3 linked regions of the Saccharomyces cerevisiae S288C genome follow. Changing the gene in region 3 together with the main gene of any one other region gives a genetic interaction. Each region holds a gene or a part of one and is shown on either strand. Other genes may lie near its edges.

The links.
Region 1: of RNH1 (region 3) and RAD2, changing one suppresses a phenotype caused by changing the other (phenotypic suppression), as found in Saccharomyces cerevisiae (one study listed by BioGRID).
Region 2: of RNH1 (region 3) and RIE1, changing one suppresses a phenotype caused by changing the other (phenotypic suppression), as found in Saccharomyces cerevisiae (one study listed by BioGRID).

Annotation. Positions count from the first base shown.
Region 1 is NC_001139.9:1,007,161-1,012,584, reverse strand, and holds RAD2 (ssDNA endodeoxyribonuclease RAD2), read left to right. Parts: upstream 1-1,818; coding exon 1,819-4,914; downstream 4,915-5,424. Other genes in the region: TNA1 (Tna1p), read right to left, coding at 1-100; MTM1 (Mtm1p), read left to right, coding at 5,280-5,424. UniProt on the Saccharomyces cerevisiae protein: Single-stranded DNA endonuclease involved in excision repair of DNA damaged with UV light, bulky adducts, or cross-linking agents. Essential for the incision step of excision-repair.
Region 2 is NC_001139.9:990,666-995,427, reverse strand, and holds RIE1 (Rie1p), read left to right. Parts: upstream 1-1,906; coding exon 1,907-4,252; downstream 4,253-4,762.
Region 3 is NC_001145.3:738,649-741,868, forward strand, and holds RNH1 (RNA-DNA hybrid ribonuclease), read left to right. Parts: upstream 1-1,617; coding exon 1,618-2,664; downstream 2,665-3,220. Other genes in the region: FUS2 (Fus2p), read left to right, coding at 1-311; TRI1 (Tri1p), read left to right, coding at 537-1,217; GTPase-activating protein RNA1, read right to left, coding at 2,864-3,220. UniProt on the Saccharomyces cerevisiae protein: Endonuclease that specifically degrades the RNA of RNA-DNA hybrids.

The DNA.
Region 1 (5,424 bases), on a different chromosome or scaffold from region 3:
CTTCCGTAGGCTTTTCTTCTGATCCATCATTGGTGGGTGATATGAAAAGCACATCATCCACCAAATGCTTAGGTGACTCCATTGTAAATTTGTTGCTCATCTAGAGGTAATGACAATAGTTCAATGCTCGAAAGTGAAGAAATATTTCTTTTTTTTTTTATATAAGCCTTCTGCGCAGTCGTTTTTTTTTCAGTCGCTGTCTCACGGGGGAAAATAGTTTGAAAAAGGCGAAGAGGGGGAAAACTGTGATGTGAATACGACTTCTAAGACAGTAAATATGGACGTATGCTTATAGCTTGGAGAGTTAGTTAATATAGAGAAATATAAATAGTAGATAAGAAGTACATATGAAACAAAAAAAAAATGGCAATAAAATAACAAAAGGATCTCGAGTAGGAACATACTTCAAAGAAAGGAAAACTCATGGTTTATATATTATCCAGAATTTTTAACGTAATCGGAGATGCGACAGATATTTCAGGGTGTATGGATGAGGTCAAAACAATACTAATCACACACGCCGCGAAGCCTTCGACGGTTCGTAACCTGTCCTCATGTGTGACGCATAGGATTCTACGGTAGATCCCGAGTATGCCCGGCTGTGATTGGTAACTATGATTGCGAGTAATAAGCGATCCGGCGTCCGGTGGTATTTTCTATTTTGTTGGTGCGACCGCTTCTTCGCAGAGAATGGGTGACTTGTAAAAGGAGAGAGACACTGGAAAAACCAACAGAATACGAGCAGGAAACTAGAAAATAAAAAACTAAAAAAAAAAAAAAACAAAAAGGAAAGGAAAAATTAGTAGAAGCCGGCGACGATTGCAGAATCCAGAGGGATACCGCTGTAACAGAGAATACGGGCACCCAGACAAGTGACTGGCGCCAGACTTTGTTATTTCACCTGGACCCGAATAATAATATTAAATAGTGATAATAATAATAACATATAGCATAAATAATAATGTACAAAATAATAATAATAAATAAATAAATGGTTCACCATGGACTGTACAGGCGTTCCGGAACGCACATAGTGACAGTACAAGACCTGGTTGTGTGCCATAATGGCCGGCATGTGAAATCGCGGCTTCTGTATATGTACATATCTGTTCTTTTACCATGTCGTCCATTTTCCGTTCACTTTAGCCAACACGGCGACGTTGTGCGGAATTGATTTGAAGTCGATTTTTTCTATGGAGTATTCCCAAACTGCCCCCAAATTTTGCAAATTAGTGCGCGGGGTGAATGGGTGCGTCAGAGCATTTACTGACACCTGGCGGCATAAGCAGCGACGTATCGTGTCCAAGGCAGGCCATAGCAAGAGCGTTTGTGATTGATTTTCAAGGCGCAGATACCATTGGAACACAGTAGCGCAGAAGGTACTCCTCAAAAGAGACAGAGAGAGAAATCAGAGTCAGGGAGCTTAGTAGCTGCTGTTACCAATATTATACAATAAGTAAGGTTTGCATATGCGGAAACTTCGCACTTGAATTTTTTTTTTTTTCTTTTTTGGTAGCTTTTTGATGTTTCCAGAGGATGTGAGTCAATGAGTGGTGTGACCCCAATACCACATTTTGTTGCTGTTTTTTTTTTTTCATTGTTAATTATCACTATTTTTTTTTCTTTCTAGTATAACCCATTCGAACCTCCGTGGAGGCATTAAAAGGGAGAGTGAAAAAAAAAAAAAGAAAAGAAAAAGAAAAGATGCCGCCACATATAGAGACCTTAAAGGGATTGAAAAACTGTACGTAAATCATTGAAGGTTCTACACGTCATCCATGAAGAAAAGCATTTTCGGGAGAACGCCAAACTTCAGACATGGGTGTGCATTCATTTTGGGATATTGCAGGTCCTACGGCAAGACCGGTCAGGCTGGAATCCTTGGAAGATAAGAGAATGGCAGTAGATGCCTCCATTTGGATATATCAGTTTTTGAAAGCTGTCCGTGATCAGGAGGGGAATGCAGTGAAGAATTCTCATATTACTGGGTTCTTTAGAAGAATTTGTAAGCTATTATACTTTGGCATTAGGCCGGTATTCGTCTTTGATGGTGGTGTGCCCGTATTGAAAAGGGAAACAATACGGCAGAGGAAAGAAAGAAGACAGGGAAAACGAGAGAGTGCGAAATCCACCGCTAGGAAGCTGCTGGCTTTACAATTGCAAAACGGCTCAAACGATAACGTAAAAAACTCTACACCGAGTAGTGGCAGTAGTGTGCAGATCTTCAAACCTCAGGACGAGTGGGACTTGCCCGATATACCGGGATTCAAATACGATAAGGAAGATGCAAGAGTTAACTCTAATAAAACTTTTGAAAAACTGATGAATTCGATAAACGGTGATGGACTGGAAGACATTGATTTAGACACTATAAATCCAGCATCGGCCGAATTTGAAGAGCTGCCAAAGGCCACACAGTATTTGATATTATCGTCGTTGAGGTTGAAATCAAGACTGAGGATGGGATACTCGAAAGAACAATTGGAGACCATCTTCCCAAATAGTATGGATTTCTCAAGATTTCAAATAGACATGGTGAAAAGGAGGAATTTTTTTACTCAAAAGTTAATCAACACTACTGGGTTTCAGGATGGTGGAGCGTCTAAGCTGAACGAGGAGGTGATCAATAGGATATCCGGCCAAAAGAGTAAAGAGTACAAGTTGACTAAGACTAATAACGGGTGGATTCTTGGACTAGGGGCAAACGATGGCTCTGATGCGCAAAAAGCAATCGTAATAGACGATAAAGATGCAGGCGCTTTGGTAAAGCAGTTAGATAGTAATGCTGAGGACGGGGACGTGCTCCGATGGGATGATTTGGAAGATAATTCCTTAAAAATAGTGCGACATGAGTCTTCTAACGCGACGACAGCTCCACAGAAAAGGAGTAACCGGTCAGAAGATGAGGGATGTGACTCTGATGAATGTGAGTGGGAAGAAGTTGAACTCAAGCCCAAGAACGTCAAGTTTGTGGAAGATTTTTCTTTGAAAGCTGCAAGGTTGCCTTACATGGGCCAATCCCTAAACAACGCTGGCAGTAAATCGTTTTTGGACAAAAGACATGATCAGGCATCGCCCTCCAAGACTACTCCAACAATGAGAATTAGCAGAATCAGCGTGGAAGACGACGATGAGGATTACCTGAAACAAATTGAGGAAATTGAAATGATGGAGGCAGTGCAACTTTCTAAGATGGAAAAGAAACCTGAAGCGGACGACAAATCAAAAATCGCTAAGCCGGTAACGTCAAAAGGTACAGAGGCTCGTCCACCAATAGTACAGTATGGATTACTTGGCGCACAACCGGATAGTAAGCAACCGTATCATGTCACAAATTTGAATAGCAAATCAGAGTCGGTCATCAAAAGGACCAGCAAGACAGTTCTTTCTGAGTTTAGGCCACCGTCTCAGCAGGAGGATAAAGGGGCTATTTTAACAGAGGGGGAGCAAAACCTGAATTTTATTTCTCACAAGATACCACAGTTTGATTTTAACAATGAAAATTCCCTGCTTTTTCAAAAGAATACCGAGAGTAATGTGTCCCAAGAAGCCACGAAGGAAAAGTCTCCAATTCCTGAAATGCCGAGCTGGTTTTCTTCAACTGCTTCCCAGCAGTTGTATAATCCCTATAACACAACAAATTTCGTGGAAGATAAAAACGTAAGAAATGAACAAGAAAGTGGAGCAGAAACTACCAATAAAGGGAGTAGCTATGAACTCTTGACAGGCTTAAATGCTACGGAAATATTAGAAAGAGAAAGCGAGAAAGAGAGCTCCAATGATGAAAACAAGGACGATGACTTAGAAGTTTTATCAGAAGAACTATTTGAGGACGTTCCCACTAAATCTCAGATTTCAAAAGAAGCAGAGGATAACGATAGTAGAAAAGTCGAATCTATAAATAAGGAGCATAGAAAGCCTCTTATATTCGACTATGACTTCTCCGAAGATGAAGAAGATAACATAGTAGAAAATATGATAAAGGAACAAGAAGAGTTTGATACATTTAAAAACACGACTTTGTCCACTTCTGCTGAAAGAAACGTTGCCGAGAACGCTTTTGTGGAGGATGAATTATTCGAACAACAGATGAAGGATAAAAGAGATTCGGATGAGGTAACTATGGATATGATCAAAGAAGTGCAAGAATTACTATCGAGGTTTGGAATCCCCTATATCACTGCGCCTATGGAAGCTGAAGCACAGTGTGCGGAATTGTTACAACTAAACCTTGTCGATGGTATAATTACCGATGACAGTGATGTTTTCCTATTTGGAGGTACAAAGATCTACAAAAATATGTTCCACGAAAAGAACTATGTTGAATTTTATGATGCGGAATCTATTTTAAAATTATTGGGCTTGGATAGAAAGAATATGATTGAGTTGGCACAGCTTTTAGGGAGCGATTACACGAATGGATTGAAGGGTATGGGTCCCGTTTCAAGCATTGAAGTGATTGCAGAATTTGGAAACCTAAAAAATTTTAAAGACTGGTATAATAATGGGCAGTTTGATAAACGTAAGCAAGAAACGGAAAATAAATTTGAAAAAGACCTGAGAAAAAAACTGGTAAATAACGAAATTATCTTAGATGATGATTTTCCTAGCGTCATGGTTTATGATGCGTATATGAGACCAGAAGTCGATCACGATACCACGCCGTTTGTTTGGGGGGTACCAGATCTCGATATGCTTCGTTCATTCATGAAGACTCAACTAGGTTGGCCACACGAAAAGTCTGATGAAATTCTCATTCCCTTAATTAGAGATGTTAATAAACGCAAAAAGAAGGGGAAGCAAAAAAGGATTAATGAATTTTTTCCAAGGGAGTACATATCTGGTGATAAGAAGCTCAATACAAGTAAGAGAATTTCAACCGCAACAGGTAAACTAAAGAAAAGAAAGATGTAATAACATATACTTATGTATGATTTACTATTTATAAACATTACCTTTGTTTCTGCATGTTAACAAAGTCAACCGATCCAGGAATAGTAGATATATACGGTCCTTTTGGTATCTTTGCGTCGGTGAGGTATGACACTTTTGGCACCCACCCAAACACGCGCAACGTTATTTTTCGCCATCTTGAAGATCTCAGAATAGCAATTAGAGAATAAGACACATTCTGTCATTTTTGCATATTTCCGGGAAGATCACTCCTCTGGAATTGGGGCACACTACCCTCATATTTGTGCCAGTTCACTTCACAGGAATCGTATGAGCCAAAGCCATAAAGTATCGTAGGAAAGGAAACGAGGTGTTGATAATACGATATGAGTGATCGCAATACAAGTAACAGCCTGACCTTAAAAGAACGAATGTTAAGTGCCGGTGCTGGATCAGTACTCACTTCTTTGATTTTGACACCGATGGATGTAGTGAGAATACGGCTGCAACAGCAGCAGATGATTCCTGACT
Region 2 (4,762 bases), on a different chromosome or scaffold from region 3:
AGGATCAAACATGCAATCATTATTGTCTTACTAAAAGGTTGATACATACATACTGTAACTAAAGCTGACGTTAGGAAATAAATATCTAAAACAAATGACAGCTATCGAACAGGCCAATTTAAGACGATTTTAGGTAAAAAAAATCCGGACCAAAGTGGCACGGCTTCTTTGTGTAAATGCCTTCCACTATTTTATTCAAGAGGTTGTAGGAAATGCCTCTCTTCAGATCTTCCAAACAATAACATTACATAACTGAACAGTGAAGGAGCATTCTGGTTTACTGTAAAAGTCTCCTCCTTGTCCCTCCTTGTTTTCCAATTAAGAAACTTTGTAGCGTCTAATTCATTGTAGTCCTGGTTCCTTGGCTTCGATCTTCTTTCAAAATACCAAAGCTTTTTTGAAAGGCAGTGTCTTAAAGATACTACGAATGTGGCTGCGTATCATATATGTATATGTATATATACAATTATATTCTATGTTTGAAAAGGTCGTTTTTCGTTCAGAACACTCGTATATCTTCGGCGGTTAGAAAAGATAGTGAAACTAAAGGAGGAGACTATAGAGACACTGCATTGTATTGAATAAACAAACAAGGCGACGACTCACTATTACAAAGTATTTTCATGGATGCAGCCCTAAATAAACCGTTGTATCTTATATCATTACGCTCAATAATCGTTAATGAAGAAGAAGGGCGGCTATTTTCGTAAATTACACTACAAACTTCAATTACATACGCAATTCTTGTCACATGCCAATGAGCACTATATCATATGCTACAAGCTCACATACACAAGGGTTATGTTTCCTTAGCGGCATATTTTTGAAAGTCAAAAAATGTGTACAACAGAGAGAAAGAGGAGGGCCGCAACAGCTTGAAGACAACAGATGAGAGCCAAGTTCGTATGTGGATTACGTCCGAAGGAATTGAACTTCCCAAGAGTAATGTGTACGGGACTGATCGAAATTCTCTCTTTTTCCTTAGAGCGTCTTTCTGCAGATCGCCACTACTATTCCTAGCGGAAGAAACAAAAGAACGAAAAAAAAAACACTAGCCTATGCAAAGGGGAATATAATCATATGGGAATACAAGGATTGTAGTACTTGCATATTGTTCCGGCCCAACCCATTTCAAGATCCAACTACTTCATGGTAGGAAGCACAGTTTTTACATTCCCGAGAAGCAGCGCCCGCTTATTGCCCCGATAGAAGCAAAAACACCGCAACTCGTGGTTACGGGGTAAGAAACCGAAAATTATTTAATCATCTACGGGGCTACGCTTTTACATAATCTCTAGAGTATTCTAGAGAATTGAGATGATTTATGTCTTTTCCCGGCTAACATGCAAGTAGAATGCGGATAAGCCTCATGGAGCGTGGTTGATTAATCGACACTCTCGGTATTCTCTTGTGTACGTACGATGTTTCTCCCGCTGATCCGATTACTAGCCGAAGACGTAAAATTGGCGCTTGATTCAATTTATGCCCTTCCCGGGAATAGTTGACCAAAGGGCAAAAAAATTCAGTCGGAGATTCCCTATTGGGCGGAATTTAGTAGATCTCTTTCCGTGCATAACGCCTGCCCGTTAGTCGTTATTTCACGTTAACATTTTCTTGGCCACTGCGCTATATAAATAAATACATATATATATGTCAAGCACAATAAAGAAACTTCCCTTAAATATTGAATAAGTAAATAATAGTTGAAAAGTGCCTTTTGTTCGAAGGATTAGAGTGTTCTTAATTTTAGTTCGTTCAACGGTCTCAAAAAAAGTGTGAACAAGTAAAGCATAGCACACATCCCAAATTACAAGGCACCCTGATTAAAAATCCAAAAATAAACCATAAGTTTTATTTTACTAAAAACATTATACGTGAAAGACAAACCGCATCAGAAGTTTCGAGGATGAATATTGCAGAAGAACCATCAGATGAAGTAATATCTAGTGGCCCCGAGGATACAGATATCTGCAGCCAGCAGACATCAGCGAGCGCAGAAGCTGGAGACCAATCAATAAAAATTGAAAGGAAAACTTCCACTGGTCTTCAACTGGAACAATTGGCCAACACAAATTTATTAACCATAAGAATAAAATGGCAGTTACAAGAAGAAGAAGATGATCACTGCAACTCTAGAATAACCGATCAAATAATGGACACAATACAGCACTACAAAGGTATCTCCGTTAACAACTCTGATACAGAAACATATGAATTTCTTCCGGATACAAGGAGGTTACAGGTTCTCGAACAAAATAAAGACATCTATCTTTACGAGCATGGAAGTCAAGAGTATGAGAAATCTTACAAAGATAACGAAGAGGAAGATGATTGGAGATACGATACCGTTTTGCAAGCACAATTCAAGTACCCCAAGTCATTAGAAAATGCATGTACAGATATCTCGGAATTACTCAAGAGCGAACCTATTGGTCAGCATATTGATAAATGGTCTATCGGTGTGAACAAGCATGCACTAACCTATCCTGGAAATATTTTTGTCGGGGGAATAGCAAAGAGCCTTTCTATTGGTGAACTAAGTTTCTTATTTTCAAAATATGGACCAATTTTATCAATGAAATTGATATATGATAAAACGAAAGGCGAACCTAACGGATACGGGTTCATCTCCTACCCCTTGGGTTCTCAAGCTTCACTTTGCATCAAGGAACTTAATGGAAGGACGGTAAATGGCTCCACACTATTTATCAACTATCACGTTGAGCGAAAGGAGAGAGAAAGAATCCATTGGGACCATGTCAAAGAAAACAACAATGATGATAATTTCAGGTGTCTCTTTATAGGCAACTTGCCTTATCACAATCCTGAAAAAGTAGAGACTTTGATTACACCTAAAGAAGTCATAGAAGTAATCAAGAAGGAGTTATCAAAAAAGTTTCCGGACTTTGATATCATTTCATATTACTTTCCGAAGAGAAGTAATACAAGAAGCAGTAGTTCAGTAAGTTTCAATGAGGAGGGGTCAGTAGAATCAAACAAATCTTCCAATAATACTAATGGAAATGCCCAAGATGAAGATATGTTGAAGGGTTATGGTTTCATCAAGCTTATCAACCATGAACAAGCACTAGCAGCCATCGAGACCTTCAATGGGTTCATGTGGCATGGAAACAGGCTCGTTGTTAATAAGGCGGTTCAACATAAAGTTTACAACAACCACAATAGCCATGACAGGCACCCTTCCATCAGTAACCACAATGATATGGAGGTTTTGGAATTTGCAAATAACCCAATGTATGATTACAATAATTATACATATGATAGATATTACTTCAACAATAATAAAAACGGGAACAGCAACGATACCTCCAATGTACGGTATTTTGATTCTGTAAGATCAACCCCTGTGGCAGAGAAAATGGATCTGTTCTATCCTCAAAGGGAATCTTTCAGTGAAGGTCGTGGTCAACGTGTGCCTAGATTCATGGGCAACAAGTTTGACATGTACCAGTACCCATCAACTTCTTACAGCTTACCTATACCAATGAGTAATCAGCAAGAATCAAACCTATATGTCAAGCACATCCCTCTTTCTTGGACAGATGAAGATTTATATGATTTCTACAAATCTTTCGGTGAAATAATCAGCGTTAAGGTCATTACTGTTGGGGGTAGTAAGAACAAGTATCGTCAACAATCGAATGATAGCTCATCAGATAATGATCTGCCAGTGGGATCATCAAGAGGTTATGGTTTTGTTTCTTTTGAAAGCCCATTAGATGCTGCTAAGGCAATTTTGAATACAGACGGGTATCAAGTGAGCAAAGATCAAGTGTTATCTGTTTCTTTCGCTCAGAAACGTGGTAATTTATCTTCAAGTGATGATGATGATCAATCCCAAACTGATAACTCATCAAAGTTCCAAAATTTTCAGCCACATAATGATTATCATAAGGCTTATCCAACAAAGTATAATAAGAAATTTATCAATGCCTTGATGACTCAGAACCAATCGCAACAGCAAGTCTCGAGGGAAAATTATTTCATACCACTGCAGTACCCTAATACCAACACAAAGCCCGTGAACAGTTACAACTTAATAAGTGCAAACCAAAATAACGCTAACTGGATGATGCCAATGTTCCCATCATTTGGGTTTATTCCACAGGTGCCGCCAGTGCCCTATATAATACCTCCGCAGAATCCTGCAGCAAATCATATTCCTATAATGGCAAACGGTAGTAATGAAGAGGAAGAATTTTCTAGTGGTGATTATTCTATGGACTACTAGATTGCATCAGGTCCATAAAATGTTTTTGTCTGCTTTTTTTTCTTCATGTATTAGTTGGTTTTTATTTTTATATTTTCATTTATCTTATTCATACTTTTTACTCCTTTTTTCTTCATTCTTTACGATCTTGGACATTCAACTAGCCTATGGTAACTTTTCTTATTACTTTGCCCCTCCTTGAGGTGAGTAAATTCTGCATCTATTTTTTTACTATGCAAAGGATAGATAAACAATTCACATGAATGTCAAAATTTTGAAAAACACTCATTATTCAAAAAGATTGCATAAAAAGATATACACTTAAAGTGCAAGATTATACCAACTTTCAGAATACGGAGAGGTTTTTAAGTGGATGAGCATTTTTTCATAACGTTCTAAAACGATATTTACAGTATTTGGTGGCTAAATGAAAAAAAGCCGTATCATGACTGTGCTAGAGAAAGTGTGGCAGTTACATAAATCAAAAGATACAATTTAGGTGCGGCCTCTATAGCCAATGCATGCTCACTG
Region 3 (3,220 bases):
ACCAGATGAAAAGGGAATTACCGGTCTTTATTACTTTGATCCACGATACTATCGAATGTATCTTGTTGAACTATATCAAAGTCTTCTTAAAATATTTGGAAATCATTGCTGGTGGAAAAAAATACCTGCAAAAAGATCTTGAAAATATGTCTCTTAATGACTCTATAGCTACCGGCCAAATTAAAAATCTTGATATTTTGCAGTGTTATTCTAAATCACGATATATGACAAAACGCATGGTAAGAAAAGATTGGCCTTTCCCTGGAGACCCTAGTGGAAGCCGTGTTGTCAGAAAACTTTTCGAACTTTAACAAAAGAGTATATTTAGCTTATAGTTTTTAGAATGTTTTGTTTTCTTTTTTATTAAAGTAGTACTACTGCGCTGGAGCAGTATATATGTTGAACTATAGTCAGTCACCTATAATTTGTTTGCTGGCGCGAAGGAGAAAGAAAATTTTAATTAATTCATGAAAAGCCTTAAGAAAAAGTTTAAGAGGAAATGAGCAAATAGAAGGCAAATAGAGGGTGAAAGCATTATGGCCGACATCAATAAATATATTCCGATGGTTGACGCTATTTTGAGCGTATCCAACCCCGATGAAATAAGCCCAAAAAGGGTGAGGAAAGCCCTGCAAATTCTCTATTCAGTTAATTTGGATTCACAAAGAAAGTTAATTAATGAATTGATTCTTGAGAGGTTCGGCGATATACAAGAAAACCCAAGAGTCTTAATTCCGAAGAACGACCTCATTAGTCGGGATCAAGAACTATCTTTGAGGTTACAGAAGGAAGAAGAAAGACCCTTGAGGTCTACGAGGAAAAGGAAAGGTAAAAGTGAAAGTAAATCTAAAAGGAAGAAGAAAAAGAATGATAGTCCTGATTCCAACAGCATTTCCGTCCGCAAAGTTCTGTTGTCAGCTCCTTTACAAAAGTTTCTAGGATCTGAAGAACTGCCACGAACGCAAGTAGTGAAGATGATATGGCAGTATATCAAAGAGCATGATCTTCAAAACCCAAAAGATCGTAGAGAAATTCTATGCGATGAGAAGATGGAACCAATTTTTGGCAAAAAAATGACGATGTTTTCAATGAATAAACTCTTAACTAAGCACTTGTTTAATCCCGATGAAATTGTGAAACATGAAGAGGAACAAAAGCAAACACCCGAAAAAGAAATCAAATTGGAAAACGAATCTCTTCCCAATTTAAGCGGTTGATCTTGGCTGTAGCACTTATACAAATTTAATGATTTTTTTTCCTCTTTGATGACATGTATAAAGCACACTGCACCTACTGTATTGTACTTGAAACAGGTAAATTAACAATTAATGTAGCATTAGTAATAAATAATTTCACTTCACGGCGTTAAAGAAATACTATGGCAAATTCGATTTGAGAATTTCGTCAAATTCTGATGATATCAATTAATGGCATATTTTTTTTATTTTTTATCTGGAGAAAAAAATGTAAAAATGACAGCAGCATCAACAATGAATAAAAGCAAGTACAATAGTCGTAAAGATCTATATTAATTTCATGGCAGCACAATAATACACGTTGTTTAAATTAGTTAAAGTGTCACTCCTTGCTTATCGAAGGAACTATCGATTCCTAATTATGGCAAGGCAAGGGAACTTCTACGCGGTTAGAAAGGGCAGGGAAACTGGGATCTATAATACATGGAATGAATGTAAAAACCAAGTTGATGGTTATGGTGGTGCAATTTATAAAAAATTTAACAGCTACGAGCAAGCGAAATCTTTCCTAGGTCAACCAAATACTACATCAAACTATGGAAGTTCAACGCATGCTGGAGGGCAAGTTAGTAAACCTCATACCACTCAAAAGCGAGTTCATCGAAGGAATCGGCCACTTCATTATTCCTCCTTGACATCGTCATCAGCATGTTCATCTTTAAGCTCTGCTAATACAAATACCTTTTATTCAGTAAAGAGTAATGTTCCAAATATCGAGAGTAAAATCTTTAACAATTGGAAAGACTGTCAAGCCTATGTCAAGCATAAAAGGGGTATAACCTTCAAGAAGTTTGAAGACCAATTAGCTGCGGAAAACTTCATTAGTGGTATGAGTGCGCATGATTACAAGCTCATGAATATATCCAAAGAAAGTTTTGAATCTAAGTATAAGCTTTCTAGCAATACCATGTACAACAAGTCTATGAACGTTTACTGTGATGGTTCAAGTTTTGGAAACGGCACGTCATCTTCAAGGGCAGGTTATGGTGCATATTTTGAAGGAGCGCCAGAGGAAAATATTTCAGAACCCTTATTATCGGGAGCTCAAACTAATAATAGAGCTGAAATCGAAGCAGTATCAGAAGCTTTGAAGAAAATCTGGGAAAAGTTAACTAATGAAAAGGAAAAAGTAAATTATCAAATCAAAACTGATTCAGAGTACGTAACCAAATTATTAAATGACAGGTATATGACGTATGATAATAAAAAACTTGAAGGGCTACCTAATTCTGATTTAATTGTTCCTTTGGTGCAGAGGTTCGTTAAAGTTAAAAAGTACTATGAGTTGAATAAAGAGTGCTTCAAAAATAATGGTAAATTTCAGATTGAATGGGTAAAAGGACACGATGGTGATCCAGGAAATGAAATGGCAGATTTTCTGGCGAAGAAAGGAGCATCTAGACGATAATGCTGTTTTTTGCTTGGCTTCTTACTGGACCTGTTGTACCTGTAATAGAAATATATATTTTATATCTTTTGCATACATATACATACATCAGCTATTTGGTTTTTTAACTTACCCGATAACTATCTATAAGCGTGTCACCATGATATTTGCCTGAACCTCGTCCACAGTTGATTGTGTTTATTTTTACTTTTATTCATAGCTATTTGATTTCAGTTTCAGCTAAACGTTCAGCAAGATCATCTACTTGTACTTCTAGCAGTTCCTTTTCAAGCCTTTCCGTTTCAATTTCTTCGAGTTTTTCATCCTCGTCCTCGTCTTCCTCGTCCTCGCCTTCCTCATCTTCACTATCGACCTCTTCAAAATCGTCAACCTCTAAATCATCAAATTTGCTTTGGAGCAAATCTAAAGCATCAGAATCTTCATCTAATCTGTTACCATTTATTTCTAGCTTTTCCAATTCAGGTAAATTTCCCTTTTCCATAGCCGGTAAGAAGGATACTTCAATGGTTTCTTGAGCCATTTCATTATATTCGAATTTCAAGACATGCAAATTGGG